Caenorhabditis elegans: one gene and its partners. The protein of the gene in region 1 interacts with the protein of each later gene in a pairwise test. Each region holds a gene or a part of one and is shown in the gene's direction. Other genes may lie near its edges. The genes, in order: edc-3, daf-4 and cgh-1.

What was found.
Region 2: the proteins of edc-3 (region 1) and daf-4 interact in a two-hybrid assay, tested with the Caenorhabditis elegans proteins (one study listed by BioGRID).
Region 3: the proteins of edc-3 (region 1) and cgh-1 interact in a two-hybrid assay, tested with the Caenorhabditis elegans proteins (4 studies listed by BioGRID).

What each region holds. Positions count from the first base shown.
Region 1 is NC_003279.8:8,598,560-8,608,756, forward strand, and holds edc-3 (DFDF domain-containing protein), read left to right. Parts: upstream 1-3,565; 5' UTR 3,566-3,594; coding exon 3,595-3,716; intron 3,717-3,761; coding exon 3,762-4,048; intron 4,049-4,168; coding exon 4,169-4,275; intron 4,276-4,322; coding exon 4,323-4,437; intron 4,438-4,486; coding exon 4,487-4,632; intron 4,633-4,677; coding exon 4,678-4,841; intron 4,842-4,887; coding exon 4,888-4,987; intron 4,988-5,034; coding exon 5,035-5,310; intron 5,311-5,715; coding exon 5,716-5,983; intron 5,984-6,029; coding exon 6,030-6,145; 3' UTR 6,146-6,603; downstream 6,604-10,197. Other genes in the region: ddx-52 (putative ATP-dependent RNA helicase DDX52), read left to right, coding at 99-300, 352-461, 510-714, 760-899, 946-1,100, 1,146-1,304, 1,354-1,920, 1,967-2,174; snrp-27 (U4/U6.U5 small nuclear ribonucleoprotein 27 kDa protein), read left to right, coding at 2,811-3,170, 3,239-3,346; F43G9.13 (Vesicle transport protein), read left to right, coding at 6,741-6,811, 6,981-7,083, 7,608-7,692, 7,739-7,818, 7,881-7,973; idha-1 (putative isocitrate dehydrogenase [NAD] subunit alpha, mitochondrial), read right to left, coding at 8,371-8,517, 8,565-8,658, 8,940-9,112, 9,176-9,258, 9,303-9,426, 9,473-9,679, 9,727-9,831, 9,878-9,952 and 1 more.
Region 2 is NC_003281.10:5,620,451-5,632,670, forward strand, and holds daf-4 (Cell surface receptor daf-4), read left to right. Parts: upstream 1-4,691; coding exon 4,692-4,832; intron 4,833-4,912; coding exon 4,913-5,044; intron 5,045-5,412; coding exon 5,413-5,535; intron 5,536-6,156; coding exon 6,157-6,264; intron 6,265-6,313; coding exon 6,314-6,422; intron 6,423-6,493; exon of another isoform or gene 6,494-7,756; intron 7,757-8,045; coding exon 8,046-8,108; intron 8,109-8,218; coding exon 8,219-8,364; intron 8,365-8,411; coding exon 8,412-8,519; intron 8,520-9,010; coding exon 9,011-9,396; coding exon of another isoform or gene 9,397-9,421; exon of another isoform or gene 9,422-9,648; intron 9,649-10,007; coding exon 10,008-10,708; intron 10,709-11,175; coding exon 11,176-11,393; 3' UTR 11,394-11,872; downstream 11,873-12,220. UniProt on the Caenorhabditis elegans protein: Involved in a TGF-beta pathway. May be a receptor for TGF-beta-like ligand daf-7. Controls the decision of whether or not larvae enter a developmentally arrested state, known as dauer, in response to environmental conditions.
Region 3 is NC_003281.10:7,492,746-7,502,413, reverse strand, and holds cgh-1 (ATP-dependent RNA helicase cgh-1), read left to right. Parts: upstream 1-4,581; 5' UTR 4,582-4,619; coding exon 4,620-4,724; intron 4,725-4,771; coding exon 4,772-5,275; intron 5,276-5,320; coding exon 5,321-5,738; intron 5,739-5,759; exon of another isoform or gene 5,760-5,837; intron 5,838-5,886; coding exon 5,887-6,152; 3' UTR 6,153-7,094; downstream 7,095-9,668. Other genes in the region: sap-140 (U2 snRNP-associated SURP motif-containing protein), read right to left, coding at 1-458, 645-1,937, 1,988-2,160, 2,270-2,382, 2,425-2,557, 2,620-2,652; C07H6.9 (Serpentine Receptor, class Z), read left to right, coding at 2,967-3,005, 3,049-3,139, 3,184-3,326, 3,369-3,581. UniProt on the Caenorhabditis elegans protein: Probable RNA helicase required for oocyte and sperm function. Also required to prevent the physiological germline apoptosis mechanism killing essentially all developing oocytes.

The sequences.
Region 1 (10,197 bases):
GCATTTTTACTCTAATTTTTTATAATGATGTTGAATCTCATCATTTTTACCTCTTTCGAAATGTTCACCCGAATCTGTATACCTATATGTGATTTCAGATGTCCTTGGCATTTAGAACCCTTTCGTTCGGTATTAAAAGATCACAACCGAAAAAGAAAGATGCCGATGATCTTAACAAAAAGAAAGAACTATCAACGATCACAGAAGAATCGCTTCGGAGATATGACGAACTTCGTGAAAAAATGATCGGAAAAGTCGAGTCAAAAATTGAGAAAAAAGTGAAGAAAAATAAAAAGAAAGGTTAATATTGTCTATTTAGTATAATACTTATAAACCATTTGTAATATTCAGCGTCGATTGAAATTCTTGCATCACGAAAGAGAGTACATGATTCTGACGGAGATTCTGAAAATGAAGTGGAGGAGACCGTTGGCGACGTGGAAAAGAGAATGCAGAAATTGGTGAGATTTCTACAGAAATTTAATTTTTATTTGAAAAAAAATCTTCAGCTCGACGACATTCGCCGTACCAATCGAATTTTCACTTGGGGTGATCATCTTCCTAATATTATTCTACGATTCTCCGATTCCAGCATGTCACCATCATTGCTCAATCGTCTATCTGAGAATTCAATCCGTCAACCATCACCAATTCAAATGCAATCAATTCCATTTATGACTGAGAGAAGAAATGTTCTTGCTAGTGCTCCCACAGGTAAAGACTTGAAAAGAGAAAAACTTCCAATTCCGGCTGTTCCAGGATCAGGAAAAACGTTGGCGTTTGCTCTTCCAGTCATCGATGAGATTCTCGAATTAAAGCAACGTGCTGATTATTCATCCTCTAACTCTTCGAAGCTGTTGGCAGTGGTACTCGAACCGACAAGAGAACTAGCAGCACAGGTTCTACAGAATTTATAGAATCGTAATCAAATTTAACGATTTTCAGACTTACACCGAATTTTTGAAATATTGCGCCAATACTTCGATCTCAGCTGCCAACTTCAGTGGAGAAGAAACTGATATTCAGCATGCAGATATCCTCGTGTCAACTCCAAATCGTATCGTTTTTCATTTGGATAAAATTGATACGTCTTCATTAAGGTTTGCATTTGAACCATTCCCTAAAAACTTTGTTCATTTTTTCAGATGGCTTGTCGTTGATGAATCCGATCGTTTGTTCGAGGTTGTTGAAGGCCAGGACAAGTGCTTCCGTAACCAACTCGCTGCAATTTACAAGGCTTGTGATGCCAAATGCACACGTGTCGCATTCTTCAGTGCCACATTTTCACATGAAGTTGAAAAATGGTACGTTTTCGAAGATTTGTCATATCAAAATTCCATATCTAAATTCCAGGTGTAAGGAGAATATCGATGAAATTGGTATGGTATGTGTTGGTGAACGAAACTCGTCTAATACAAGTGTGAAGCAAAAGTTAACCTATTGTGGAACTGAAGATGGAAAGAAAATCGCTATTCGAAATTTGTTGCGAACTTCCTTCAAACCACCAGCTCTAGTTTTTGTACAAAGCAAGGATCGTGCCGTGCAACTGGTGAAATTACTGTCTGCAATTGATTCAAATCTAAAAGTTGATTCAATCAACAGTGGAAAAAGTGATAAGGAAAGGGATGAAACGATGGAAAGGTTCCGTCGAGGAGAGATATGGGTTCTCGTTTGTACTGAATTACTTGGAAGAGGTCTTGACTTGTCTGATGTTGGATTGGTTATCAATTATGATTTGCCAACTTCAATTGTTAGCTACATTCATCGTGTTGGAAGAACTGGTCGTGCTGGAAAGAGTGGTCATGCTGTCACATACTTCACAGATGCTGATATGAAGTATATTAAATCAATTGCAACTGTTATCCGTCAATCTGGTTTTGATGTGCCGGAGTATTTAATGGAAATGAAAAAAGTCTCGAGGTTTGAGGGTAATCCTATTGTTCTGAGTACTCAATTTTTAATTCAGAGATCGTAAAAAGGATATGCTCAAACATGCTCCAAAGCGTCACAAAATCGCCATTGTAAAAGAGCAGGTGATCAAGAAGAAGAAAATGTTAGCAAAGGCAGCCGCTGAGGAAAAAGCGAAGAATAAAACTGAAACACAGACAGCGGAGAAACCAGAGAAGAAAATCAAGAAAAAGAAGTTGATCAAGAAGAACAATAAGAATATATAAATGTTTTGCGAATTTTGCGCTCAATTGTTTTGTTGTTTCAGTTGAAAATTGTTAGGATTTTTTTGTTTTTTTGTTGTTTTGCTGTTTTTCGTTGTTGAAATAATCGAGTCCAATTTAAAAGTTTTACCATTATCTCCATTTTATCCAGAACATAGTGTTTTTAAGTTGATTATAATGTATTTTTCATTGAAACTATATTTTAATTCACGCCGAAGCTGTTATGATGTTCTGGACGAAACCGATTTTTTTTTTGAAACGGAGAAGAGAAAGCGCGCCCCACCGTACAAACGAAAATATCGACGATTTCAGCAAATTTCACAAGCATTCAGTTTTGTTTGGTTCTTGTCCAATAAATTTCTCGATTTCTTTTTTTTCTTGTCCAAAAAAAAACGTTTTATTGAAAAACAAACTAATTCTTTTTCCTTGTACTCGGCTTCTGGTTTAGAGCAGAAAACTCATTTAGAAATATAAAATTTTAATTATTTCATTTCTTACTCGTTATGATGACAATAAAGGAGAATTGAGTCGAATTTTCCGCGGAAAAATTCTTTATGACGACTTTTCTTTTCAAGCTTCGTAAATAGCTTTGCGTTTTACTTTCGTTACAAGTTTCGTTTATTTTTCAGTTCGCGAGCAATGGGACGTGACAGAAGTCGCAGTCGCGATAGGAAGAGACGATCCAGATCAAGATCAGTGGAAAGAAGGCGAGAACGAAGTAGAAGTCGTGAACGTCGAGATGCTCGCAAAAATCGCGACGAAAAAGAAAAGAGAAGCAGTCGAAGCAGAAGTCCGCGCGATAAACGAGATCGGCGGGAAAGAAGTCGATCACGGGATCGAAAAGAACGTGATCGTGAACGACAAAAAAAGGATCGTGAGCCAAAGAAACGAGAGAAACAAGAGGAGATCAGTCTAGAGTCGTTACAAAGTGGAGCAGACGATGAAGCGATGATGGCTGCAATGGGATTTGGTGGATTCGATACAACTAAAAATAAACAGGTATATATTTATTATCTTTGAATATTCTTCCACAAATTAAAATTTTTTAAAGATTTATAATTTTTCAGGTCAATGACAACGTGGATGGCTGCGTGAACATCAAGAAACCTCGCAGATACCGCCAATACATGAACCGAAAGGGAGGATTCAATCGTCCACTTGATTTTATGGGATAATTTATTTTTTTGCAATAATTATTGTTTTTCTTTTCAATTTGATCTCTTTCATTTAGAGAATAATTCTGTACCCAAATCATTTTTATTTCACCGGAACGTTATTTTTAAAATAAGAACTTTTAAATGTTTTGTTCTTATTTATATTTTTCCGAGGTTCTATTCCTTTTTTATCTTTTATCGCTCTACGGACGATTCCCCATTTATAATTTTAATTTTAAGGTTCCAATTCTTCTGATTTCAAATTAAAAATGGATGACAAACTCATTGGAAGCGTCATATCAACCGAAACTAAAGATGGAAATGTCTATCAAGGAAAGTTGACAACGTATGATACGAATAATGGGAATTTGACCATGGCGAATGTTATCAAGTACGATTTTCAATAAAATCTTTAATTAAATGTGTTTTTTTTCAGAAATGGACTTCCTCTTCATCGTTGCTTTACTCTCTCGTCGTCAGACATTAGTCGATTGAAAGTGATTAGAGGCGCTACCCAGTCAACTCAAAAATCCCAGCCCTTGCCAGTTCAAAATTCCTCAAATAGTGTAAATAAACAGAGACCTTTGAAGAAGTCTGCGGAATCTACTGTATCTTCCACTTCCACCGCATCTTCTTCAGCTTCTTCAGTACCGGATTCTTCTCGCAATCGTTCAGTTGCAGTTTCTCCTCAAAAATCGGCAAAGGGGCGATCACCGAAAAAATGTATGATTAAAAAACGTGTTTTATCTAACTTGAATACCTTATCTTAACCGAGAGTAAGTAAAAGTTGAAAAAAAAATACAAAAATTAAATATTTTTTGAAGGAGATATGTATTTTTCCAGTTGCGACAAATGTTGAAAAACTCTTTGAACATCACTCGACACCATCCAAGCTGACTCTTGCGAAGAAACAGAGCCGTCAATCACCAATGCACAATGGATTCTCTCATGTATGATAAATCTATGATATATTTCTTTTACCAATAACATATTTCAGACAGCTGAAGAAATTTCAGCAACACCACATTTCCAAAGTTTCGATCGCCAAGTTCCGAACCCAAAAGTTTTGAGCACAATCGCTTCGAATGGGGGAAGATGTTCGAAGAAGCAGGGTTAGAATTCTAATAATTTGAAAATCAAAATATAAGTTTCGATTTTCAGGACCGTCTGGAAATCCAGTTCTTGACGCTCTCAATCACTACAAGGGAATTGGTGGCCGAAACAAGAATGATCTCGCTGATCCAATCGATTTTGATTTGGATTCAGATTTTGATTTTGCGGAAAATTTGAAATTATTCGAGAAAGATGTGAGATTCTTCATGAAATTTTCTTGTTTTAAACAAATATTACAGGAGAATGATGACCAGTACTATGAGACAGTTGAAAAATTTAAATGCTCTCAAAATTTTGCTCACTACGAAAATATAATTGACGATGAGAATCGAGTGACCTCGTGGACAAATTTGAAGGCACGATCTGAACTTGTGAAGACAGGAACGACACCTCAGACATCTGAGTTAGTTATTTAATGAATATTATGAAAATAGTTGTAATAATTCTAGAAAGAACAACTTCCGAGTTACTGCTGTGAGTTTTGAGAAGTCGATTATTGGAGATCCAATTCCTGCAATAAGTTTGAATGAAAAGAAAGAATTTTTGAATGTGAGAGATTTCCAATAAATTAGTATATAAAATTGATGTTCTTTTAGGAATGTAGGGTTTCGTTAGGAGAAGCTGTCTACGACACAATCGTCGCCGATCGCATCTTCCAATGGGTCTCAGAAGTTCAAAATTCGTATGGTGATGCACATGGAACTGTAGTTCTTCTCGCATCTTCTGCAAACTCTGTTCGTTCCATTCGTCGTCTGCTCACCCATTTCGACAAGCGACGTTACAATTGTCATTTATTCGGAAAATATCCAGGAGAGATCTTTGATCATGTCAATGTGGTCACTGATGTAAAGATGCTTCCGAGAGAAGTTCCGGTCAGGATTTTAGATGTATTCGGAAATATTTATATTTTGTTGCAAGTATTAAAAAAACAAAAATTCTTGCAATAACATTAACAAAAAACCGAAAATTCAGAATTCTGATGATTTTTTAATCAAAAAAACTAAAGTTTTGCTGCAAAAGTCGTATCTTGCAAATTTTTGCGAAAAAAATCGTCGAAAAAACGAATGTTTTCGATTGTTAAAAAAAATCGAAAAAATAAAATTTTTACATCAAATGTTTGCCGATTTTGATGAGATCAAGAATACAATTTGTTGGAAAAATAGAGAAATGACCGAAAATTTTCGATTTCAATCAATTTTCCAAAAATATCGAATATCGAATAACATCCTTGTTCAAAAATTCTCACAAAAAAATAATTTTCAATGTAATATTTGCAGATAATCTGTATTCTCTCACCAGTCGTCAACGACGATGTTGAATGTTGGCTCCGTGCTCAAAGCAATGGAGCTTCTTCTCATTACGTATGCATTGAAAATGTTCCAAGTGTTCTCGAACCATCTCGATGCCATTTGCTTCAATTTGGATGTGCTACAAACGGACTTCGGCATGCGGAACGTAAGGTTCAAACGATAAATCGTGGAGGTATCACTTTTGAACATTTGTGCCAGGGTAAAATGCACGAGGAGACAAGTTCTATTCTTGTTGGTAAGGTTTACTTCTTCTACTCAATAAATTCAAAAAAAAATTCCAGATAGTGCCATTGCTGACCTCGGATCTCCATCGAATTGGTTCGACAACACATCTTCCAAATTCATTTCTACCGCATTCTCTACAACTTTCCTTGTCAGACTTTCACAATCCAATTAGTTTATTTAAAACCCTTTTCCTGTTGACATACACTTTTTTTATTCGCCCAACATGGTTCAGTATCATTTTGATTTTTCTCCAGCGATCCCTCTATAGTCTCAATCACAATGAATCGAGTGATTTTCTTTGTTCTCAAAATAGTAAAATTCTTCCATAAGATATCCCAAATCAAACCAAATCGTGTAGTTTAGCATTTGTTCTCTTTCTCTAAAAATCCCACAGTCGGCGTTACTTTATCACTCCAATATCATTTTTCTTCCCTTTGGCAAGTCGTTGGAATATATCGGTGGTTTCGTATTGTCCCGTTTGACTTGCACATTTCCATTCTAAGAACCAAAACTTTTTGAATTTTGAAATGTATCTTCCATTCCATATTCTTGCACAAATCTTATATTTTGATATACCTTATTGTCCCAACCACGTCTACTTTTAGCACCGAAAAATAAAATATTAGAGATCGAGAATTCATGTTTTCAATTTAAATTTACAAAAAGTTTTAATTCCTCCAAATTATCTCTTTTAATCTCTAATTTTTGAAATTATTATTCTGCTTTTCAGAATTTGAATTAAAAATAATGTAATCAAGAGTCTCAAGATGCCGGAAAATAAAGAAATAATTACGATTTTCGAGAATTCTAGAAATTATACAAATTTAACCAGTGAAAGGTGAGAAATTTTCTAAATTCTAAACTGAATACCGCATACCGTTAACAATGCAATGAAATTAATGTATAATGTGATTGTACATGCCCTTTTATTCTATCCATGAGCTCATTTTTGATTTTAAAATTCAAAAAATCTCCACAAGAAATACTTTAATGTTTTCTATTTCTAGCACTTATTCGTTGGCCGGTGCACTACTTCTTTCTGGAAAATATATGAATGATTGGTGGGAAATCACATTAAGCATATTTCTTTGGATGTCACTTTCTTTTATGGTAAGTTTTGGAAACATGAAATATTATTAAAATTTCTAATGTTCCAAAAATTCGAAGATTTGGCATTTTTGCATTTCCAGAAAAAAAATCTGTGTATTATATTTTTTTGGCAATATTATTAACACTTCTTTCAAAGTGGCTAGGATTACTCCAAACTCCGAGTCCCTACTTCTAAACACCTTTTAATTCACCAAAATGCCCTAACAAAAACTGACTTTATTACACAGACGAAAAATTGTTGGCAACAATACTGTACCCGGTCTCGATACGACACATTTTTAATAAATGCAAAAAGGTGTGTTCTGTAATTTAAAACTCCTGCCTACGGGTTTTTTAATTTAATTAATTTATTCCTTTGTAAAAAACAAAAATAAATAACGATAAAAACAGATGAACGCACACCATGCACTCAACAAGTATATTAGTCGTGTCGAAACTGGGGTCTGTATTCTTTGGCATAATTTGCTACGGGTAATATGACATATTTTATTCAGAAACTATTTTTTATGTTTCAATTGTTCCAGGTAATTAGTCTCGGAGCCACAATTCTTTCCCTTTTCACTCTTCGAAAACATCCATACGTTTGCTTTATTCCAATTCCATTTATCAGTAAGATTCTGAAAATCTTTTTTTTTTCATAATTTCAACTTTTCAGTAATGATGTTCATCATTCCTTTCGTTTTTGGTGCTCCTACGTCAATGGTTCTCGCACTGGCAATGTACGCTTCGAAAAATGTACGTTAAAAAAAATTTACTTTTCAAGAAGTTAAAAAGTTGAGGGAAAAAACATTTTTCAGGCTGTGAGCACTTGGTATTGTGCAATAATGGGTATCATTCAAACTCTTCTGATTTTCGTGACTTCTGTAACCCGAATCCACGCGACGCTGTAACTTATTGTGATTATGTAGAAACGATTGCTTTAATAAATTTTTTTAGTTTCTTTGTCTATAAAATCTCGAAAAGAAAAAACCATATAAAAATTTCCAGAAATGAACAGAAATAATGGGAATCGAAAGATGGTGTAGAAGAAGAAAAAACAAAAGTCTCGGGGTGCTTATAGTTATGCGAGTGAATCAGAGAAGACTTATCGAACGATTTTGTGGTTCATGCCAATGGGATAGGAGTAAAGCGATTAAGGACGCGGGATGGACTGGTGGGTAATCTATACAAAATTGAAAACCGAAAAAAGGTGTCATTAAATCATTACTAATCATCAAAGTGTTTTAGTGTCTAACAGCCTGTTTACAATAAGAAAAAGAAAATAGAAGGGGAAGTAGCATTGAGCATTTATTCGAGGTCTTTAACACGGGCACAAACATCAGCGGTGAATGAAGAGCAAGTTCCAGTACCTCCGAGATCTCCAGTTTTGGCACGTCCATCAGCAATTGCATCAAATACAGCCTTTTCGATACGAGCAGCGTGTTGTGGAAGGTTCTGAAAATGAGCTTGTAAAATTTTTAGACCGACTACGATATAAAAACCATGTAACGGAGCATCATGACGGCAGATAGAAGAAGAGCAGTTGGGTTTGCTTTGTCTTGTCCAGCAATATCTGGGGCGGTTCCGTGAACGGATCTGTAAAGAAATTTGGTAAGTTTTGTTTGAATAAAAAATTGTATTTCGCTATAAAATAAAGTTTTCAGGTTAAAAAAAATTAGATTTAAATTTTATTGAGAAGATTAAAAAAATGCAAGATTTCATCAAATTCAACTTTTTTAGTATTTCCTACTTTTATAATTTCGTATTTTTTGCTTTCGATTTCACTTCTATGTGTTTATCTGAAATTTCAGAAATTAACAAAAATTCTAAACTGAGTTCATTTCATTTGTCAAAGCATTTTTTAACAAAAAACATACTCAAATACGGCGGCTCCTTTTCCAATATTTCCAGATGGGGTGACTCCGAGTCCTCCAACAAGACCAGCGCACAAATCGGAAAGAATGTCTCCATACAAGTTTGGCATGACAAGAACATCGTATTGTGATGGATCCTGGACCATGTTCAAGCAAACTGTGTCGAGGTAGGCTTCCTAAAATTATAGATTATAAATTTTAACAGGAAGTGGTTTTTCTTTAAATTCTATTATTCATACCTTGAACTTGATATCTGGGTAGAGGGCAGCTTGCTCGCGGCAGATGGACAAAAACAAACCGTCGGATTGTCTCATAATGTTGGCTGTAAAAATAATTGTTTTAATTTTCTTTTTCAATTTATATTACCTTTGTGGACAGCAGTCACAACTTTGCGCCCATTTTGACGAGCATACTCGAAGGCGAAGCTGGCGACATTGCGAGAAGCAGTTTCAGTAATAAGCTTGATAGATTGAACAACTCCCGGGACAATCTGAAACAATTATTAGGTGATACATTTATTATTTAATTTAATATACCTCGTGCTCAATTCCAGAGTACTCTCCCTCTGTGTTCTCACGAATTGTGACAACATCGACATTGTCGTACAATGTCTTGTGTCCTTCAAGGGAACGGCATGGACGAACGTTGGCGTAAAGGCTAAACTCTTTTCTCACAGCCAAATTCAAAGATCTGTGTCCTTTTCCAATTGGGGTCTCGAGTGGTCCTTTAAGTCCAACTTTGTTCTGAAAAACGTAACAATCAGAAATAAATGTACAATTTTCAAACTAACCGCGTGCATAAGCTCGATGCAACGACTTGGAATACGGAAGACTCCATCGCGTCCCTTAACTGGAGTCACATCAACTGGGTCCCAAGCAATCGGGGCATCGGCGGCCTAGAAATAACATGATGTAAGACACACGAAATAATTGAAAATTCACCTCAAAAATCTTCTGTACAGAAGCTGAAATTTCCGGCCCAATTCCGTCTCCTGGAATTAAAGTGACACGGCGAACCTGAACAAAACTGGCTTTTTTATAAAGTTTCGAGGTTTCTTACGTCTCCGGAGCTGTATCTGATGGATTGTCCGACGGTAGACGACGCCTTTTTGATGCACTTGCCAAGCATTCTGAACCCTGGAAACAAAAATATTTGAGATGGAAGGAAAAATTGAGCGAGAAAGAAAATGAAAAAGTATTTACGATGCACATTTTTTGAGACTATCTAGACGATCATATTTTGGAAAATCAAAATTTAACAT
Region 2 (12,220 bases), on another chromosome or scaffold:
TTTCATTCTCATTTCCTTGGGTCATTTTTCATTTTTATCTTCTTTCTGTTATGGGCTAGCAAGTACGCTTTATTGTAATTCAAAGTATCTTTAGGGTAGTTTTTATGAGCCTAAATTAGGATAAACACTTCCGCTTTGTCGAAATTATGAACAGTTAAATAAGACATACCTACCTACCTATGAGGCCAAATTCTATTTTGAATGTAAATAATTTTTTAAGAACTTAAATTTCCTTGGCGACAACAGCTATCGAAAATTATAAGTTCACGAAATGCTCATCATAAATTTCCTGGAGTTGACAATATTTGAATAAGTATCCTAGTGGCAGAGATAAAATCGGCCAAAGTTCAGATGTAAGGAGGTGGGGCAAGGTTGGTAAGGACATTTTTCTAACTTTTTGAACTAATTTTGTACATGTAGACATATAAATGTGCGGTACGTAGGTTACGTAGGCAAGCAGGCAAGCAGGCTCAGGCAAGGCTTGAGGCAAACGCAAAGAATACTTGCCTGCCTGCATCAAAGCGAACAATCTCTCATGCCTACATGTTTGGGTAGGCACGTAGGTAGGCACGTAGAAAACTGCTTTTACTACTTTCAACACTCCCAAATTAGAAATTCTGGCAGTTGCCGAAGTCTGCACACTCGGCATTTATTAGAGGCTGCTTGGCAGAAAAATGGAAATTCTCACTATCAGCAAAATTATTGCTTATCACTAAAAATTTGCTCCCCAAACCACCGATTTATGCAGCATAATCTCGTGTTATTCTTTCCTTCCTCATAATCATCTTCTCTCCCAATATCCTCTTTCCAATTCATAAAAAATGCAGTGTATGAGGAAGAAAGAGAGATAGAGAGAAAAAAAGAAAAAGACAGAAAGAGCGCTGAAATTATTCTCTCAACAAATCGAACGCGTGGTTGTTGTGGAGAGGAAGAAGAGACACGGGCGGCCGAATAGAGAAAGTTAGGCGTACGAAAGAGGCCTGAAACGCAGACATGTAGACAAATGCAAGTCCATCGTCTCTTCATTTCGTGTACTCTCTATCGTCTCTTCCCAGTTGACGACCCGAACACACGGCTCACAATGCCCGGGCACATCGACTAAATGATTGCGCGGGAAAATGAGGCACCCAGGTTCCACCTCACCGTCTTTTTCTCTTCCTCTCTCTTTTTGCTCTTCTAATTTCCGTTGGGTGAATACTGCTTCCCGGGTGTACCTTTTTTTGAGCTCGCCAGTTGCAGAAAAGTTGTCGACCTACTTTCTTCTTTCAAGTAGGCAATCGGCAATAATGGTATTTGCGATAGAGCTATTTGGGCAATTTTAGCATCTAATGGCGGTTGCCGAAACATTGCCGAGAATAACTAAATACTAGAAGTGTATCTCCCTGACAACCTCATTCTTTTTCTCCTCAAGCTGAAAGCTCCAATTTGTCATAATTTGCAACTTTGAAACTTTTTCTGATTGTCAAAAATCTGCAAACTCACCTTCTTCCTGCTTTACACTTTTTCATCTTTCGTTCAATTTTTCTATCTTTTTTTCTAACAGTTTTAGTAATGTCAAACATTTAGCTTCGTTATCTTTTTTCTCTTGCACGCCTGAAAAGGGTTGCCAACTTACAAGATATAGCAAACGTTTTGACAAATATTTTGTTAATTGAATTTTTAAGTAAATTTTACCATTCTTTCTTTTTTTGGAGAGAATAGAGAAATGATACATTCTAGCTTCTATGCGGTTCCCTTTAACATTCCTTGATAACTCTCAATGTTCTTGGCAATTATGGAAATTCCAGAAAATTGTATGTTTAGTATCCATGTTCACTTTCCGCTAATTTCTGATCTACTGTTCAAGTTCTGACCACTTAAAACATCTCCCCCTGAGTGTCCTGCAAAAAAAGTTATATGTGACTTTTTCAACATTTTTTCAACCCTCCCTGCAAATCGTTTGACCTATTTGGAGTGCGTCGTGGGCGGGCTGGTAATGACCATCATTTTCCCAAATAAATTATTTTCGGAAGTGTTCTTCACGGTTTGTGTTTTGTAGTCAAAGTTCTAGTGAAGTTGTTTGCAACTTCGGAGTACTTTGCTGTCGAGGTATTTCCGTAAGAGTTAGGAAAAATAATGTCAATTGACAAATTGTAGGAAAGTTTGTGCTGAACATATTTGAGCAATGATTGTGCTATTTTTTTTTGCCAATTCTGAGTTATATCACTTCATAGTTAATATTTTTTGATATTTATAATCGCAAAATTCATATAAAATCTTAAACTTTTATTCCCACTGACCATGAATAATATTAATTCACTGAATAACTGATGATAAGTACCCAATCTTTTTTGTTTTGTCTCTCTTTCTCTCACTACTATCTCTCTTTTCTCTTTTTCAAATGAGAAGAACTAAAGCAAACAAGTTGTGTCCTTTTTTTCACTAATGTTTAACCTCGAACCGACAGCGAAACCACACTTTTTTGCTGCAATTTAACGTTTTCTCACACGATTGGACCTTTTCATGGAGGTCTTTTATATTGATTTTTTTGAAGATTTAAAACTGTTTTTAAAATTTTTATACTTTCGACCCATCATCAACATCAAGTTTATTTTCTTCTTATAGGTAGCTAACCCCATAATTTTTGCGACATTTCCTGTTTTGAAAATGAAAAAAAAAGTTGCGAAAAATAAGTTAAAATGCTACAAGATTTATGTTACAATTTTAAATGTTCTCATGGAAGAAAATAATAAAAAATGATTATTTGGAAAAATAAATACAGGTTGTTCACGAGGAGTACTTGAACTAATGTTTTGAATTTGATCTAGTTATACGGAAAAATTTGAAAAAGTAAACATAAGTTTAGTTCCCGCCGAATTAGGTAGTATGTATTTTTTAATAATTGAAATTCGAATAATTTATTTTTTTTCTTGACAATTATCTCTTTTCATATAATTTTCAAAACCGTCGTGTACTCATCGTGAGCAATATTGCTTGTTCTTCGACCTCTTACTTTGAACTCGATGGTTCCTTCAGGTATTCCGAGGCCTTCAGGTTCCTACTATTTTGCTCTTTTCCTTCTTCTTCTTCTTCATCTAACATAAGAGAGCTTTGGTCTTACACGCCTGCTGCTACCCTCTCCTCCTTCTTCTGCAACAACAACAAACCCACCGTGGTCACATGTGAATTTCGCCGAGTTTCACGCTCTTTTTCCCCCTTTTCTTTTTCGGCTTTTGCTGCAAAAATAGAACGAGTGAATAATACCCAGAAAAAAGCGAGTGCTTTGTTGTTGTCAAGGTAAACACAAAAAATATATGAAAAATGTTCAAAAAATATTCGTTTTGACATTCTCTTCTCCCACTTAAGTCGCTTGATTCAATGTGACGGGGAGGCTTGAGGCAGGAGGAAAAGTATAAATTCACCTGAAATAACGAATGGTGACATGTTTTTGAATAAGAAGAAGGAAAGGATGACGTTGAGTGGTACTTTCTATTTTCGTACGTTTTACAGAAAACTTATTGAAACTTAGCGCCCGACATCTAGCCCAAACTTGGACGAACACCTAAGCCTAAGCCCAAGCCTAAATCTCATTTTAGACTTTTAGCCGAGCCCACGCCTACTCCAATTCCGTTCTGCTGAAAAAAACATACGTTTTCCTGGTACCACGCACGAAATATAATCCTGAGAAACTTTTTTTGGTTACATTACATGTGTATAGCACATTATTTAATTTTTCCTCGAATTGCTAGTGTATTTTGGGAACCGAAATATGGAAAGTCCAGTTAGTCCGAACTTCGCCCATTTCCTATAAGGTGCAGGTGTTCATCGATACTATATTTTTCTCAAAGTTCCCGTTCTATAGACCCCGGAAGATCCCGCCTTCATTCTGTTTGGGCCCCGCCCAACTTTAGCCCCCTCCGATGAGAAAAAGAGCACAAGAGGACAGCGAGCCCCTCTTGTAAGGTTCTTGTAGGTCAGATTGTCACGTCATTTGATTTTTTGTTGTTGTTTATTAGAGAACATTGAATGAAAACCTTTTTTTATTTGAAACAAAAAGTAGAGAGTAGAGTTTGTAAAAGTGATAAGAGTGTACCAATCTTTGCTGTTTCCTCGTTCTTTTTCTCTTTTCTCTCTTCATTTCTGATGTGTGCTTCTCACTTCATTTTTTTTGCAAACTTTTTGTGCTTCCTTAACACTTTTCACATCTTTCGTTTGATGGAGATTGTGCAATTTATTCCTATTTTTACGGAATTTTTGAAAAATTTGGTTGACATTTTTTAGTTGAAAGTTTTGAACTCTCATGGTGCATCGAAGTAAAATTCAAACATTTTATTTTAAAAAAATGAAAAGTTTTTTGTTAAAAAAATTGGAAATTTCGAATGTCGAAATTCGAAATTTTTTTATCCGAAATTTCGATTGCTTTTATTTGAAATTAAGAAATTTAATTTTCATCAAAACTAAATTTTTAAAATTTTAGCTGGAAATTTTAGCAAAGCTGGCAATTTTATTTAATTTTATCGAAATTTTCGAATTTTCGAATTTTTGAAATTTTATTTATTTTTTCTCAAGTTGAATTTGTTGACCTATTTTTTTTATTTAAATAAGTTTGCATCTATTTTTCTCAATAAAACATTTGATCTTAATTATTTATTTATTTTACTCCTCAACTTTAAAAAAAACGTTACAATAATTCAACTACCTTCAATTTTCAGATGAATCAGAAAGGGACAGTACGTCTCAAGGCACTTGTGCTCATTTGCCTTCCACTCTTTTTAATTGCCACACCGGTTCCTGTTGCAGTCACGGAAGACGATCGTCAGGACCGAATCGAATCGGAAGCCGCCGAGAAAGAGGTGAGCATTTTTTGAGAAAATGTGTTTTTGTCGTAAACTTCTTTATTTTATTCTATCTCCTTGGTTTAACCATCTTTCAGTGGGCTAACACCCTAGTCAGCAAAGTAGCACAGTCAAATGGAACTGGCACTATTAAGGTCTCGGCACCAGCGAAGCCCACGTTAAGGAGAATGGACAATGAGGAGGATGAAGTGATTTCGATTGAATGTGTAGTAAGTTTTTGGATCAATTTGATGGAATTTAGGCTCATTAGATAGTGTTGACGTTTTGGGGATCAGAAATCAGTGACTCTCCCGTTTGTTTAAAAATTACTGGATCAAATACACTTTAATTCCAGTGAGCCCTGTTCCCCTTGTAGAGGTCGCAGAGCCAATCCACCCACATTCCACTGATCCTTGTTTCAATTAACTATAGTTACTTTAAAGTACCAAGATATTCTAAAAGGGATAAGTTCAAACCCGCAAGCTACAATAACTACAACTCCTTTTGTTTTTCAAGTGTTATCACTATTCCATAATTATAGGCTCTCTTCCCCAAAATTAAAGCAGTAGTAAAAACGTTAAACTTTAAAATTTTGCAGTACTACGACGAGATGGAATGCGAAAAGAGTGGCGATTGTGAAATCACAAAGAAGACGTGTTACAGTGAAGCTCATCTGAAAGCCGTCGGATGCTTGGCCGTATTTGGGCTGCCCACGCAAGAGGTTAGTGTGGAAGAGGTTTTTGGCGGCCACCCCCAGACCGAACTGTGTCACATGACGGGGGCCCTTTATATATATTGTTTCATTTGTTATTCATGAGTGACATCTTCTTCCTCTTCATCCGCGGAAGTATTTGTATCTTTTGCATTTTTTTTTCCATTCTGGCTTATGACTTTGTCAGCTGGAACAAATTGGGGTGACATGACTCGTGATTTTTGATAGTTTTGTAGGATGGAATTTGAATATCAAAATTAAAATCAGAATTGCATTAGTTTTATCGAAAACAAATACATATGAGCAAGGTTTTGGCCTTTTTGAAGACGACTTTGAAAATTTACTGAGCGACATAGGATTTAAACGTGGAACTTGATTCAAATTGAAAAAAATACTGCGGAAAAAGTTAATGATCAAGGCTTTATTATTCCTTTGCTACAAAGCTCTTCAAACCAAACTTAAAAGTTGTTGAGTTTATCAATCCAATTTTGATCGAATCCATTAAAAATGTGCAAACCAACTAATCCGGATTTAGCTGCCCATGTTTCAAAAGATGATTAATTGAGTAAAGGGGATAATAATAGATATATGCATCCATATTATAAACATCAAAAATCTTAAAATTTCCAGATAAACTCTACAGAACCATACCTGAAAGTTGATAAACCGCAATACAAAAGTCTGGGATGTATGCCGTATCAGCACGCGGACTCGATGAACTGCGAGAACGAAAGCTCCGTAAGTTATATTTCAGCATTCGGAGCACCTCATAAAACTGGAATTTCAGTGTCGCCAAGGACGATCATTTCGCGGCGGAATTGGAATGTGCTGCTGTTCGACCAACAATTGCAACATGCCGGATCTCATCGAGATGGTCAACCCGTCATTGAAGAAGGGTCAGTGAGCACATTATATTAAGAGAGCACTATATCCCATGTTTAACCCCATTCTTAGTATACTAGAGCAACACGCAATGATTCTGTTTTTGTGAATATACATATATATCACCTCCTTCTTTTTACCTTTTTTACCTTCTTTCTGTCCCACTTTCTGTTTAAATAACCTTCTTTCGGGTGAGCGTTGGGGCTAGAGGCTAGGGAGAAATTGTTGGCATTGAAATGAGAGGTTTTCTGTGAAACATTTAGCTTTAAGTTAGCAGAATTTTCACGAAAGTTGAACAACCACGCGTGTCTGTGCCTAGTTATTTTTTCGAAATACGGTTCATCATACGGAGGTTGCCTCCCATCAACTAAAATACGACAGAGTTGGAGCACATTCGAGAAAATTCCCAGGAAGTTAGACAAAAATGTGGCAAACTAACGACGAGTGTAGGGAGATAGTGGACGGAAGTTGGCAAACGTTGCGAGCAAATGAGAAGCACCAAATTGCAATATGTCCTAATGTAGAAGCGTTCAGGCGAAAGTTCGAGAGAGTTTGGCGATGTTTGGTTTGAGCTCGGCCACAGTAATAGGGAAAGTGACGCGAAGTGTGATCAATCTGAGTCAAGCTTTCGACAAGTGAAAGACGAGAGTAGGAGTTGAGGAGCGGGCCAGATGGAAGACGGAAGCTGCGACGAATCTTCAACTAATTTATGAGCGTTGAAAAAAAAAGTTGGAGAGAGGTTATGGGGTTATTCAAGTAGTGTCGGAAAATTAAAAAGTGTAGAAAAATTACGTCACAACCTTATTCAAGTAGATAAAAACATGTATTTAAATACATTTGTGACGTCACAAATGTATTTAAATGCATTTTGCTACATTACTTGAATAACCCCATTAGAAAATTTTGAATGGTCTCTACGGATCTCAGCAAACGTTCGTCCAAACTGCGACAACCTTATGACGCGTTTATGATAAAATTTGAAGTTGAGACAATGAGAGAGAAGGATAACCGAGCAGAGGTTGAGAAGAAAGCTCGAGAGAGCTTGGCAAACATTGAAAGATAGTTCAGCTAGCCCTGAGACAATATTTTGCGCCAAAGCTGAACAAATTTCCGGTGGAAGTCAATCGGAAATTAAGAAAAATATGGAGAACTTCCCATTACTTTAGCTATACTCCTCCCAACCTTTCCCCGTGTACCCTCAACCTGAAAGAATCCACCTCTGTAAAAGCCTGCAGTTGTCATAAACCTTGTTCCCAATTTCTCTTCCCTTTCCTAATTTTCTCCGAAAAAAATGCACGTGGACCTCTCCAGATTGTCTCCTAATTTTCTCTTACCCCTCACACATACACACACACACCATTCATGCAATTTTATGTTTGTTCTTGTGGCTTTGCAAGTAAACCACTTTTTTATTTCAACTTTCTTTTGTTCTTTCTGTTTCTAGAGGCGATTCGCAACGACACTCTGCTGTTATTTGGCTCCTCCCCTCCAGTGAGCGGAGTGTCGTTGCAAAGTGAAACAAACGCTTTTTCGTAATAATTTGCACCCGTGGAAGATGCCTGTACACACACACACACATACAAATAAAAACATGTACACATTTTGAAATCACCTATTTAGAGCCGATAAAATTTCAGATTCGGATAATTCTGCACTTCTGTGGGCTTCAACTCCATCCAACATGGATTTGGAATCTCTAGGTACTGTCTGCATCTACGTCTCGGGGCTAGCTGGGTACTAACTAGGTGCTAAACACCCTCTACCACACATCCCCCACTCTTGTCAGTTTCTCAATGGAGCGAATTTGCAGACAAGTTCCCATTCTACTGGATCATCATAATCGCACTGTCAGTGATCCTTTGTATTGCACTCTTGATCTTGGCATACGTTGGTTGGAAATTTCAGCAGAATAAGAAGGAGGAGATAAAAAAGCAGCAGAAAATTAAATTTGACATGGCGAGTTTTGTCTTTTTTGAAATCGAATCAATTTTCGAAATTTTCAGGAAAAAACTGACGCACTGGAAGCTGGAAATGTGCCTCTCGTGGAGCCGGAAGAGGAAATGATTGAAATGGTGGAGACACCAAAGGAGCTGCCGATCACTGATTTTCAGGTATGTAGGTACCGCAAGAGTCGTGCTTGATATTTTATATTGAAACATGCTCTCTAAATCTAGAATACAACATTTGAATTTTGAAAAAAAAACCATATTGGTGAAACTTTTCAGCTTTACATGAATTTTTTAAAAATTATCAAAAACAATTGTTAACATAACTTAAAAACAACGAACAATTCTGAAAACATTTGAATTTATGGTTTTTTAACAGTGTCGGGGAACGTTTTCATTTGGCATTGGAGCGCATTTGCACTTTGATTTCAAAATTCACATATTTCGCGTCTTCATAATAGTTCGTCTTTTTGATATTTTGCTCGGAAGTTCGACCTCACGGTGTAAACTTTTGATGTCCACTACTTTGTGAACTCTGAGCTTTTCCTTACTTTTTCTTTATCTTTGAGAAAAAATGTTGAAAACAACAGAAGGCTCTTTTCATGAGCTGATTGACGTCACACTTACACTCAATGACATTTGTTCGTTTATTGCAGTTAATCTCAAAGGGACGTTTTGGAAAAGTTTTCAAGGCGCAATACACCCCAGACAGTGGTGAGAAACGATTGGTTGCGGTGAAGAAATTGAACGAATTCCAAAAAGCGAGCTTTTTGGCGGAGAAAAGAATCTTTGATGAGCTTAACGAGTACCCGAAGTGGTATAAAAGTATCGTCGAATTTGTGTGCGCCGAGAAAATTGGTGATGAGTATTGGATTGTGACCGAATTTCATGAGCGACTTAGTCTCTATGAGTTACTCAAGAATAATGTAATTAGTATTACATCTGCCAATCGAATTATTATGTCAATGATCGATGGGCTTCAATTCTTGCATGACGACAGGCCGTACTTCTTTGGACACCCAAAGAAGCCAATTATTCACAGGTTAGTGGAAAATGAAAATAATTAGAAAATTTTTAATGGATCTGACTTGTGATCGCCCTCCAACTAGTTTTAATGCTCAGAACTTTACTCTAGGTTGGTCCTAGAAAAAATCGGAAGAAGTTGCTAAGTTGCGCTTGAGCAGCCGACATTTTCAGGATCAATTAATAGTAGCGTGGACCTACAAGTTGTCGGCTGCAATTTCCAGTAAATATTTTTTGAAATACACACGATAGAGTCCAAAATGATAGGGTAAAATATTGAAAAAAAAAAACCAATTTTTAGGCGCATGACAATTTTCAGTTGAAGTTTCGAAAAGTTAGGGTTTAGAAAAAAAATAAAAATTCAAACAATTTTGTACATTGGAACACCTAAAGTATCTAGAGTTAATTAGAACATAATCAGAATATAAATTTCGCGGGAAAATTGTGTACAAAGTGTTATTATGATATTCGGTTTACTATCGGAGAGATTCTAACCAATGCTCCCAGTAACACTACGTTACCTTTTAAGAGCAGGTAGCGAGTTTCAACGACGCACGACGCTGGTTAGTGTATGCTCCAAACTGTTTCTAATGTCTGTACTTATTCAATTCAATAACCAATTTTTTGCAGAGATATCAAGTCGAAGAACATTCTTGTGAAAAGCGACATGACCACATGCATCGCGGACTTTGGCCTCGCCCGAATCTACAGCTATGACATTGAGCAAAGCGATTTGCTGGGTCAAGTGGGAACGAAACGCTACATGTCACCAGAGATGCTCGAAGGAGCAACCGAATTCACGCCAACTGCTTTCAAAGCGATGGACGTTTATTCGATGGGACTCGTCATGTGGGAAGTCATATCCCGTACCAAGTTGCACCAAACCGACGAGCCACCAAACTACCAAATGCCGTTTCAAGTCATCGGATTTGATCCCACAATTGGTCTCATGAGAAATTATGTGGTGAGCAAGAAGGAACGACCACAATGGAGAGATGAGATTATTAAACATGAATATATGAGTCTGCTAAAAAAGGTTACGGAAGAGATGTGGGATCCCGAAGCGTGTGCACGGATTACAGCTGGATGTGCGTTCGCGAGGGTATGGAATCATATTATGAGCTCACCGGACAGTTCGGAGGGGTATCACAGTGGAAGTAGTATGAAGAATCGGGGTGTTGATGATGTTGAACAAAGTGAGAAGCCGGAGGGTATCGAAGAAATGCAACATTATCATGCGTCGTCACCCAGCAAGAGACAACATCCTAGTCCGAATCCGTTTTTTGATTCGTGTCCACCACCTCCGCCGATTCCTGTGATCCTTGAAAATGGTGAGTGTACAGTGAATCGAATAAATAGTTGACATGACCCGTGAGATGTCGGCTGCTTGTGAAAAGCAGTTTCTAAATTTTAGGTGACTTCCCAGGAGATGTCGGATGCTCAATGCAGCATAGCTTTAAACCTTGAGCAGCCGACATCTCACTGACTAGTTATACGTTTGTGTAGGTAAATGTAGGATGCTGGTAAATGACCGACCGACATCTTATGGGATACGAATGGCTATGCTAAAAAACATCTCACGGCTAATTAATTGGTTTTGTGGTAACAGTTTTCTGAAATGATTGGCTAGTCCCTAGCAGCCGATGTTTTGTGAGTTCACTGATGTTTTAAGAGTGCCCGCTGCGTGAACCAACGAGCAACCGACGTTTTGCGGGTTCCAAAACCTTATTTGCCTGGCGTAACTAGTAAAGTGTCGCCTGCTATTTTTCCTTTTTTATAAACAAAAATTATTTTTCAGGAGGAATCCTCCAACCAGACAACGCGGAGCCAGAGCCCGAAGAGCTGCCGGATCTCCCGATAGTCGAGAAAATCTACGATATTGCGACGAACATGCTATTCTCAAGAGAAGAGCTTGACCTTATGAATGCTCAACGGCAAGTTGAATACGAAGCTGGGGCAGACACTCGAGCGTCGACACCAACGCCTTCAGGGACGTTTGGAACGTTTACAACATAACTATTCATTCAAATCTAACATTATTTTATATTATGATTATACTCCCATCCTCTCCTATTCTAGTCTATATGTAGCGGTGGACACCTCACGGGCCCCTCGCCGCTGGCCCACCACCTTGTCTCTACTTACGCGTCCCCTAATGATCTCAATTTGAGCACAACCGGTGTATATATCAACTTACAGACGTTCAATATAAGAACCGCTAAAAGTTCTATGTCTTCGTCGTCTAAAACTCTTCCAAAATCTCTGATCTCTTGCATTGTCTCTCACTCAACCAAGTTGCCCACTCTCATCCAACTAACTCAAAAACTTACCTCAGCCCATGGGGCATCCCCATATTCTCTCATTCATTCACTATATTCATTGATCTGTGATAACTTTGTATTGGCAGTTCACATCACACAAGAATCTTTTTTTGTATATCAGTTGATTATTTATTCTTCATTTTTTACACTTAAAATTAAATAATGTTTCTTGCTATTCACGAAAAATTGACATTTTTCTTTTTTCAGATTCATCCGGAAATACCCATTTTTAGACAGCTGATATGCCTCATCACCTGCCACTAGTTAGAATGTTTCCTTCACTTCTTATTTTGTTATTGACTATCAACTTTCCGTCTATTTCAACATAAAACATTTCCTTGTACGGCAGTAGCCAACCGACGCCTATTTTTGTTCCTAGCCCTTCTTTATGTTAGCTTTTTAATCCAAAAAGCTTTCCACTCACACAATCTTTACTGGGCCCGCAGAATGTCGGCTGCTTCCAGTTCTTGACAGCAGCAGCCGACACCCGACGGATCACATGCTAAAAGTCAAAAGTTCACG
Region 3 (9,668 bases), on another chromosome or scaffold:
CAGTTGAATAAGTAGACGTTGATGGTTTTACTTCTTCGTGTAATGGTATACCGTCGATGCCATCATCATCGTAAAGAGACTCGTTCATATTTTGAACTGATTTTTCTTCTTCGAGAGGTACTCCATCTAAGTCTTCTTCGTCTTCTTCTTCTTCCAGTTTTTGGTTATCCCGTTCTTCCGATTTTTCTTTTCCGATTTCAATGAGTCCCAGGAATACATTTTGATTATGAATCAGTTTATCTGTAGGATATACAGCCATTTCCTCAAAATTTCGGAAAACACACATCACGCGCTGCTTGAATTGCTCTTGTTTGATGCGAGACGGTATCGCCCGATATGCTTTCCCGACAGCAACGAAAATTTTCTCCAGAAGAGCTTCGAAGTGAGAACGATAGAGAAAAACGTCCCGAACATTACGTTGTACACAATTCGATAGAATGTCGTTGATGAGGTAGAGCCTGAATTAATTAAATATTATATCAGCACAACTATGGAAGTTAACTTGAAGTTGAGCAGATAAACGCTCAATTAAAATCTTAGCTTCATATTTTTGGAGTTAATTTTGAAATAAAAAATATAATCCCGAATTAAACGAATTACATGTGTGTTTTTGCAGACTTTTTTAAAAGTGAAAAGTCAATTACCTCGAAATTTTCTTATAAAGTGGGATATCCTCAATGGTCAGACTATCATATACACACTCGCAAATCTCAGCTGCATATTTTGCATTTTGTATACACCAAACCATCGTAGCGGCTATCGACGTCTTCTCAGGGGTCAGCTCTCGAATCAATGTCTCCAGTTTATCACGTCGTTTATCAGACATTCGATTATTCCTCTTTTTCTCATTCTTCTCTCTTCGTTTCCGTTCTTTTTCCTCTTCCCTGCGCATTTTTCGTTCTTCCTTTTCAGCATCCGAGTTCCGACGATTCTTTGAGCTCTCACCTCCTCTTCGTTGACCTCCGTCACGTACTTTCATCCATTTATCCGGATAGGTTCTAAGGCAATTCATATGATACAGTTCTTTTGGCATTGCATCTCTTAACTCATTGATGGGATACGGTGGAATCCACCATGACCCATTTTCGAACATTCGAAATGGAGTGCGCCGCCATTCTTCAATAGTGTCTCCTTGAAGCAACGAATAAATTCTCCATCGATAGTAAACGTGAAGAGCACTGGTATTATCCCAAAGAAATTGGAACATTGGATTTTGAAACTCTTCTGCACATATCATAGCTTCAAACTGAGGTCCTTCGGTTACAACGTAAACGGCCATTCGATCCATTACTCTGACCAGCTTCCTGTCCGGGGGGACAACAACTCTAATTTGTGAATTCCGTATCAGTTCTGTGAAATCCTCATACCCATATTGTCCTTTTGTTGGCAATGCATGCATCGGTGGAAATGTATTGTACTTTTCTAGAAACTTTTTGGCATCAGCACAATCCGGTTGTGCATTGAAGGGTAAATTTGAAGTTGGATCGGGATGTTGAAGGGCATGAAGTACGGGTGGAATGTAGTAAGGAATAGCAGGAATCTGGACAGGACGAGCAAAAGCGAAACGAATTGGCTCATTCCGAACGATGATTACACGAACTTCAGCCATAAATCTATCCACATCGGCACGAGACATAAATGCTACAAACGCGCAAATATGCGGCCGTCTTCGCTCTTCTTCGCTTCTCGGATACAAAATTTTCAGTGCGGCTAACGGTCCGAACGAACCAAATGTAAATAATAGATCGTCTTCCGTTACTGAATGTGGAATATTAGAGACATATACATTTGTAGTATACGGGTCATCGTCAAACTCCGACGTTCCCTGGAATCCTCTTTCAACTGTTGGAGCCAATCTCTCTACTACAGCTTGATCCATTCCAACTTTTTCCAGATGATGTCGTAAATCTTTCCGTTTTTCTCGATCTTCTTGAACTCTGAAATTTTACGGATATAATTCTTTCGAAATTCTTTTTTAGCAATATACCTCTGCAATTCCATTTTAAACATTTCCATTTGACTGATCTTTGGCTTATCTTGTTTCGCTTTCGAGCTGCCAGGCTTCGGGGGTCTTTGAAACGGCCTCGTAGTTGGCACGACAACTTTCGGCACTTCTGTCATTTTTTTGCTTCGTGCTACGTCTTCCAGCATCCTTCGAGCCTGAATATAGTGTTTCTTATTTCACTAAAAACATCCGTTAAGAAACGAACACATCTCTACCAATTTAAACAATGTGAAGAACTAAGCGCATGAAATTTATTAATTTTACCTTCGCGGCTGCTAATTTTTTCGCTTCATCAAAATCTTTGGATCCAACGTTCGAAGTTTTAGACGGAATGTTCATTGAAAACTTTGGTGCATAGATTCCACCGTCGCCAGCAGCTGAAAATTCAGTTTATATAGTTTTCAAATGGATTTTCTTACAAATCTTATTTCCCTCGACAACATTTCCTCTCAGAAAAGTTTTAGGCTGAGAAGAAACAGACGAAGATTGTCCAAAGTCTGCTTGGAACTCCAACAAAGCATCGTTCAACTTCGCCTCCTCATCGTCAGATGTCTAAACTTTTAAATCGGTATTATTAAAGCTTGTGACACTTAGAAGTTGACAAGGAAACTTACTTTCTTTCTCTTTTTGGACCATTCCATACTCATATTGCGGGGAAATTTCCCGGGAAATAATTTAAAATGTTAGATTTTTCCCAGTAAATGGACCAGGCACTGACAATGCGTCAGCAATTATGATGAAACGCGCCAGCAACCACTTTGGCGTGTTTTCGGATCTCGGCGCGACTTTTAAGTAAGGAAACATTTTATTTTTGAAAAAAGAAAGAACAAAATAATAACGTAATTAATTTCAATTCATGAGTTACACGCAATTTCATATTATTATTAACATTTAACGTTCAAATCATATAATTCATAAATAAAATAACAAACCATTTTTAAATAATTTGCATATAAGAATTATGAGTCTATCTCCTCCGCCGTTATTCAATCTCGATCAAGTTTGTTATCTGTAATGTTTCTGCCTTTATAAATAATTTTAAGGGATCTTGGAGTCCTATTGCTATAAACATGATTTGCCTAGAAGCTTTACAAACTTGGTACCAATCGGTTTATCTTGGATCTGCTTATTTCTGTAAGAAAATAAAAAGTGGAAAAATATAACAACTAAAATTGCAGATATGAAGACAGAGTCGTTCGTGTATCTGTCACTTGTTTACATTCAATTTTCGTTATTTTTTCTAACAAGCATTTTGATAGTTATATATTTTATATCATACAATGGAGTCCAACGTCTCAATGTTATTACGATTACCACAAATGTAACGTTTCTTTTGACTCCTGTTTTCAATTAAGATTTTCAGTTTATAAAAATGGTGGTGGATGTGTCCTGTTTCGGAACAATTTATTTTGTTGGCAGCTCGAAAATATTGCCTATTGTGGATTTGGCGTATTTCAATTGTGTTATCCAACCGTGTCGGTTTCTTATATTCATCGTATACTGCCATCACGGAGCTAGATGTGACGCATATCACAGATTTCTGGTTGAATATGAGGAGTTCGAATTAGAAAAATGAGGAAATCGAAAAACGATAAAGTAATCACATTACTCATTACATTTAGAACTAATTATCCTTTAATAAATTTTCATCGACGCTGGTATATTCTTTTTAATATTTAATTCATTATTATTCTCAAGAAATTTCGCATCAAATCTTCGTAAAGTTTTTCATTGAAATCTAATTTTGAATTACCGCCATTTTGTTTCGCGCGTTGGCTGAGTATTCAACTTTTGTGTGTTGAATGTACGCAGCGAAATGCCTCTCACTCGTCGCTCGCAGCAGCTTGGCCTACTCGTCCCGTCGCTCTCACAGTTTTTCTCTCCACACTCTCGTTTCTTCGCACATTTCCTTCATTTTGGCCGTTGTTCTCCACGTGTTTCTGTGTTTCTTCTCTAGATTTCTAAGAGTTTTAGGCGACGATGGCAGCTCCAATCTGTTATCGACACTTTCTTGATAGATTCAGTCGTTTTCCGAAGATTTTTATCAGTTTCGTAGCTCAGAAACCTGTTTTAAAAAACGATAACAAAAAGTGTTCTTTCAAACTTTCGAATGTAAAATATAAACTTTTTCGCGTTTATTGTTTGGAGAGTCGCTTAAAAACTGGAAGGTATCAATAAAAAATTGTCGTGATTCTCTGACCTTTTGAAATTGTTTCTTGTCAATTGCCACGTCGTCAAACATCGGCTACCCTGTTGGCTAGATACTCCAGCAACCCAAAGAGTGTCTGTGCGTCTCTATGCGCCGCCGACCACTCGCTTGCTTTTTCTAACCGTCATTGATCGTGTGTATACGAGCGCGAGACAGACACCGGTTGTCTCGCATAAATATTATCTCAGTGTTATTTAGCGTTCCTCCTAATTGTTCTGAAAATGCTTGAATGATTTTTCCATGACTAACAAAATTGTAGTAAACTCGATAGGTATCATTTTTTCGCATTAAAAACTTATCTTCCTTCATTAACAACTTCTCAACTTACACCATTAACAACTTCTCAACTTTAATCTCGATTTTACAGATCTCATCAGGAAATCAAACCTACTACGACATCGGAAAATGAGTGGAGCGGAGCAACAACAGATCGTTCCTGCCAACAATGGCGACGAAAACTGGAAGGCTGGTCTCAATCTTCCAGCAAAAGACAGAAGATTCAAAACTGCTGTGAGTTTGCAAAGCCTATATGACTTTGTGACCATTTCATTTTTCAGGATGTCACTGATACGAAGGGAGTCGAGTTTGAGGATTTCTGCCTTGGACGCGATCTTCTCATGGGGATTTTTGAGAAAGGATGGGAAAAACCGAGTCCTATTCAAGAAGCATCCATCGGAGTCGCTCTCACTGGTCAAGATATTCTCGCAAGAGCTAAGAACGGAACAGGAAAAACCGGAGCTTATTGTATCCCTGTTATCGAGAAGATCCAGCCAGCCCTCAAAGCTATTCAAGCCATGGTCATTGTCCCAACTCGTGAATTGGCTCTCCAAACTTCACAGATCTGCGTGGAGCTCTCCAAACACATTCAGCTCAAAGTTATGGTCACTACCGGAGGAACTGATCTCCGTGATGATATCATGCGTCTAAACGGAACGGTTCACTTGGTCATCGCCACCCCAGGAAGAATTCTCGATCTTATGGAGAAAGGAGTCGCCAAAATGGAACATTGTAAAACACTTGTTCTTGACGAGGCTGACAAACTTCTTAGTCAAGACTTCCAGGTAAAAAAATTAACATTTGAATAAGATAACAATTCTCGTTTACAGGGAATTCTCGACCGCCTCATCAACTTCCTCCCAAAGGAGCGTCAAGTTATGCTTTATTCTGCCACTTTCCCTAACACCGTCACTTCGTTCATGCAGAAGCACATGCACAAGCCGTATGAGATCAACCTCATGGAGGAGCTTACTCTTCTTGGTGTCACCCAATACTATGCCTTTGTTCAAGAGAAGCAAAAGGTCCACTGTTTGAATACGTTGTTCCGAAAACTTCAAATCAACCAGTCGATCATCTTCTGTAACTCTACTCAACGTGTTGAGCTTCTCGCTAAGAAAATCACGGAAATCGGTTACTCGTGCTACTACATTCATTCCAAGATGGCTCAGAATCACAGAAACCGTGTCTTCCATGACTTCCGTCAAGGAAACTGCAGAAACTTGGTTTGCTCCGATCTTCTCACCCGTGGTAAGTTTGACTAAATAATTTGCGCGATGAGGATTGATAACACATACACACACTCTGAAGTTATGTGAAGAGATAATTGAAGAACGGATATCTGAGCGCCATTTTTCTTATTTTAAAGTGTAGTTCATGCATAATTGTAATTTTTCAGGTATCGATATCCAGGCTGTCAATGTTGTCATCAACTTTGACTTCCCAAGAAACGCCGAGACTTACCTTCACAGAATCGGTCGCTCTGGACGTTTCGGTCACCTCGGAGTTGCAATCAACCTTATCACCTACGAAGACCGTCACACCCTTCGCCGTATCGAGCAGGAGCTTCGTACTCGCATTGAGCCCATCCCGAAAACGGTTGACCCGAAGCTGTATGTCGCTGACCAGCAGCTCGTCGATGCCGCCGATGAGACCACTGCTTAAACACTAGTTCTCATATCCCCAAACCTCCAAAACACACTGGTCGCCTACGTTTTTTTTTTCCATTCTAGTGATCTCGTCCAGATTGTGTATGTTCTCTATTTTCCTTTAAATGCACAGTTTGTGCTAAATTTAATATTGTTCAAGCATAAGCATCTTTCCTTCCTGTTTTCTCAAATCCCCGCACATTATTTGTATCCCATCCACCTTCCCGGACCCCATCAACCCGTTCCACTTATATGCGGTGTAAAATTCTAATTTTTCTTTTTCATTAGTTTCCCCATACCCTCCAACTTGCAGTCATGGACTGTAACTCATTCAAGTCGTTGTGTTTTACATAGTCATTTAAGTTGGTCTTTATGCTCCCAAAGTAAATTGTTTCGACATTAATGTGTCGTTGCAAAATATATTTGGGAGTGTAAGGACATTGTTCATACACATCGGGTTCTTTTTGACGTGTATCATACTGGGTAGCCGGCTCTGTAGTTATTCTGTTGAGCCGCACCACATTGATCAATCTTGTAATTTCCTATCTCATTTCCCACAATTCTCCCTTCATGCCCCATACCAATGCATCCAAAATTTAAAACCACCATCCTTGCGGTTTTCCCTTGCCCATCTGTAGGGTTTTATTCCGCTCTTGTGCTCATTCCAGTTCAACTTGTCCATCTCCTAATCTGATAGATATTTATTGCAACTATTATCATGTCAAATGGCTCAAAGACTATAATGTCTTGGAAGGCTTCCGGCTGGCCATGTGTCTCGCTTACAGCTCTTCCCCCATCCCCATTCCAAAACCATTTGTTCTCTCCCGCCTCCTCCCTCTTGTTTATTGTATAATTTGTAGAAGTTGACACCAAAAATTTGCACAATTTTTCGATTCACAAAGGATGTGCAAGCTTCCTTCTGGATGATTGCCATCTTTAACAATAAAAGACCGAATCGAAACATCGTCTTCTGTTATTTCTTTTCAGAGTTTCATATGAAGAGGAAAGTAGTGAAAGCCTTGAGAAAAACCGAAAACCCACAAGAGATACATTAAAGCACATTAGCGCATTTCCCGAGTGAAAGACCATGTGAAATGAAAGTAACAAAATGCGACGATTTACTTTCGTTTCTCGTATTCCCTGGCAACAGCAGCGGAAGGCGTTGAATGTGTTGACAGTCAGCCAGCGGCAATGGTTGAGGTCGGTATTCAATTTACTGTTTCTCTCTTGGATGTGTCATCCGGAGAGGTGATTGCCCATCCGTATCGGCACCAGTAATGCGCGCCGCGCACAGTAATATTAGTTGATATTGCGGTGACGGGAGAGGTCGGAACGTCTACATTAATCTATTAGTGTGTATTCGGATTCCGACCGCAATGACTTTGAAAATTCTTTTTAGTTTCATTTTCTCATATGCTTTTCTATATGTATATCCTCGCCTTTTGTAATATTATGCAAATGTTAACAATCCGTATCCGTCGATGACAGGCGGCTCGAACCGGTCTGAATTGGATTGGAATTCTTTGCGCGATATCCGCAGAGAGACAAGTGATGGCATCGAAACTATTTTTTTCTCTGATTTTTATACGGTTTAGGCATCTTTTTTTTTAATTTTAATCAAATAACAAAAGTTTATAAAAATATAACTTTTTTGACCAACTCCATCGATAAATCACGAGGTTAGTCTCGTATTACTCACATTTACTGCATTGTACAAAATGACCATTTTCAGAAAATTTTCCAGACGAACGCGCCCGATTAATAAATTGAAATAGTCTTTCATTTTTCGTTGATGATGTTATAATGGAAAATAATGCGAAGTACAACAAAGTTTTATTGCCCAGACGCGAAATGTTGCGAGTTTTACGTAAACGGGTGTGCGCCTTGAAAGATTACTGTACTTTCAAACTTGTGGTGATGCGGAGTTTTCATCGATTTTTCATAGTTTCACGATTTGTTGAAATTTAAATGTCTTAATTGTTTCGTATTAGTATTTTAGTAAATAAATATTTTTAATCGAAAAACTATGGTAAATATGAAAAATCGATGAAAATTCCGGAATTAATTCCGCAGCAACGAAATTTAAAAATTACAGTATTCTTCAAAGGTTTTTATATTTTATATAGAAGGATTTGTTAACTTTATTATTTAAAAAATTGTTTTCATTTTCCCTCATTATTTTTTGTTGACCATTTATATCGCAAAAAAGTGTATTGATATTCTAAACAGCGTTGATGACCACTTAAGTGTCAAAAAAAGAATGAAAAACGGTTTTGAATTGAAATGAAGGAGAAGTGGACGGTGTGATACATTTCTAAATAAATTCTTTTCAAATTTCAAATTCACTTTTTTACACTAAACAATTTTTGATCGGATTTTTGAGTTACAAAGAGCTTTAACGTGGAGCTATACCTATTTTGTAAAACTTTTCGTCAAAGTTCTGAAGGTACAGTAAAGTGGAGTTTTTTCTTGAAATAAACTTAAAGTTGATCAAAAAGGCTACAAATTAAAATAAAATACTTTAAAATGTTCAAGATTTTTCAGAAATTTAATTTTCACTCTTGGCAAAATGTCAAAACCTATGTAGTTTTGAAACATAAATTTTTTTTTGAATAATTGCAACATTATTTGTGAATTCATGCAAAATGCAAAATGGGCGTAAAAAGTGAAAAAGTTGGACAAAGAAGAGGTTGAAATGCCATTAGGTCCATTGGGTCAACCTTTCGAATAATGAAAAACTGGATTTTTTTCTCATTTTCTCAATGTCTACTCATTTTTCGATGTTCCATTTACCATTAGTAACCGCAAGGAAAAAAAACAAACTATAGACTACTTAAAAACTATTACTATTAGAAGTGATATTATACATTTTGAAATAGTTTATGCTTTTAATTGATCTTTGGAAATAATAATAAAAGTTTATCATTTTTCCATAAAAAGATAAAAAGACAAACTAAATTCATATAATTTCCTAGGATGTCTATAGAACAGAAGTTAAAAAATACAGATGTCTGAAATTCTGGTTTAATAATTACTCGGCATACCAACTGTTTGTACTGGCAGTAAGAAAACGAACCCACCAATTATAGTCCTTCAAGTTCCGTTGCAAACATGGGTTCTTCGTATCTTCTTGTTTTTGTGTTTTTATTCACTTTTGGAAAAGTTTTTTGGAAAACTTTAGATTTTGGTATATCCGTAAATTCAAAATCTGTAGGGTTCTAACACGATTTCCAAACGATTCAAAAATGTATCAGAAAATCCAAATTTTATTATACGTATGTTGTCTGCATATTTCTTTCTCTTTTGATCTGATTTGACCGTACTCGGTGATTTCTTTGTGGATTTTTAGTTTAAAATTTTGCAGGAATAAAAGTTAAAAAACTTTTTTGGAAACATATGATTAAAATGGGTCGCCACAACTCAAATAATAAAGGGTCGCTCTGATAACGTACGCAAAACTGGAAGTTTGAATAGCAAAATCGCTTCAACTTTCAGCTTAGACTTTTGCCCCATTTAAACATTGTTACGAAGC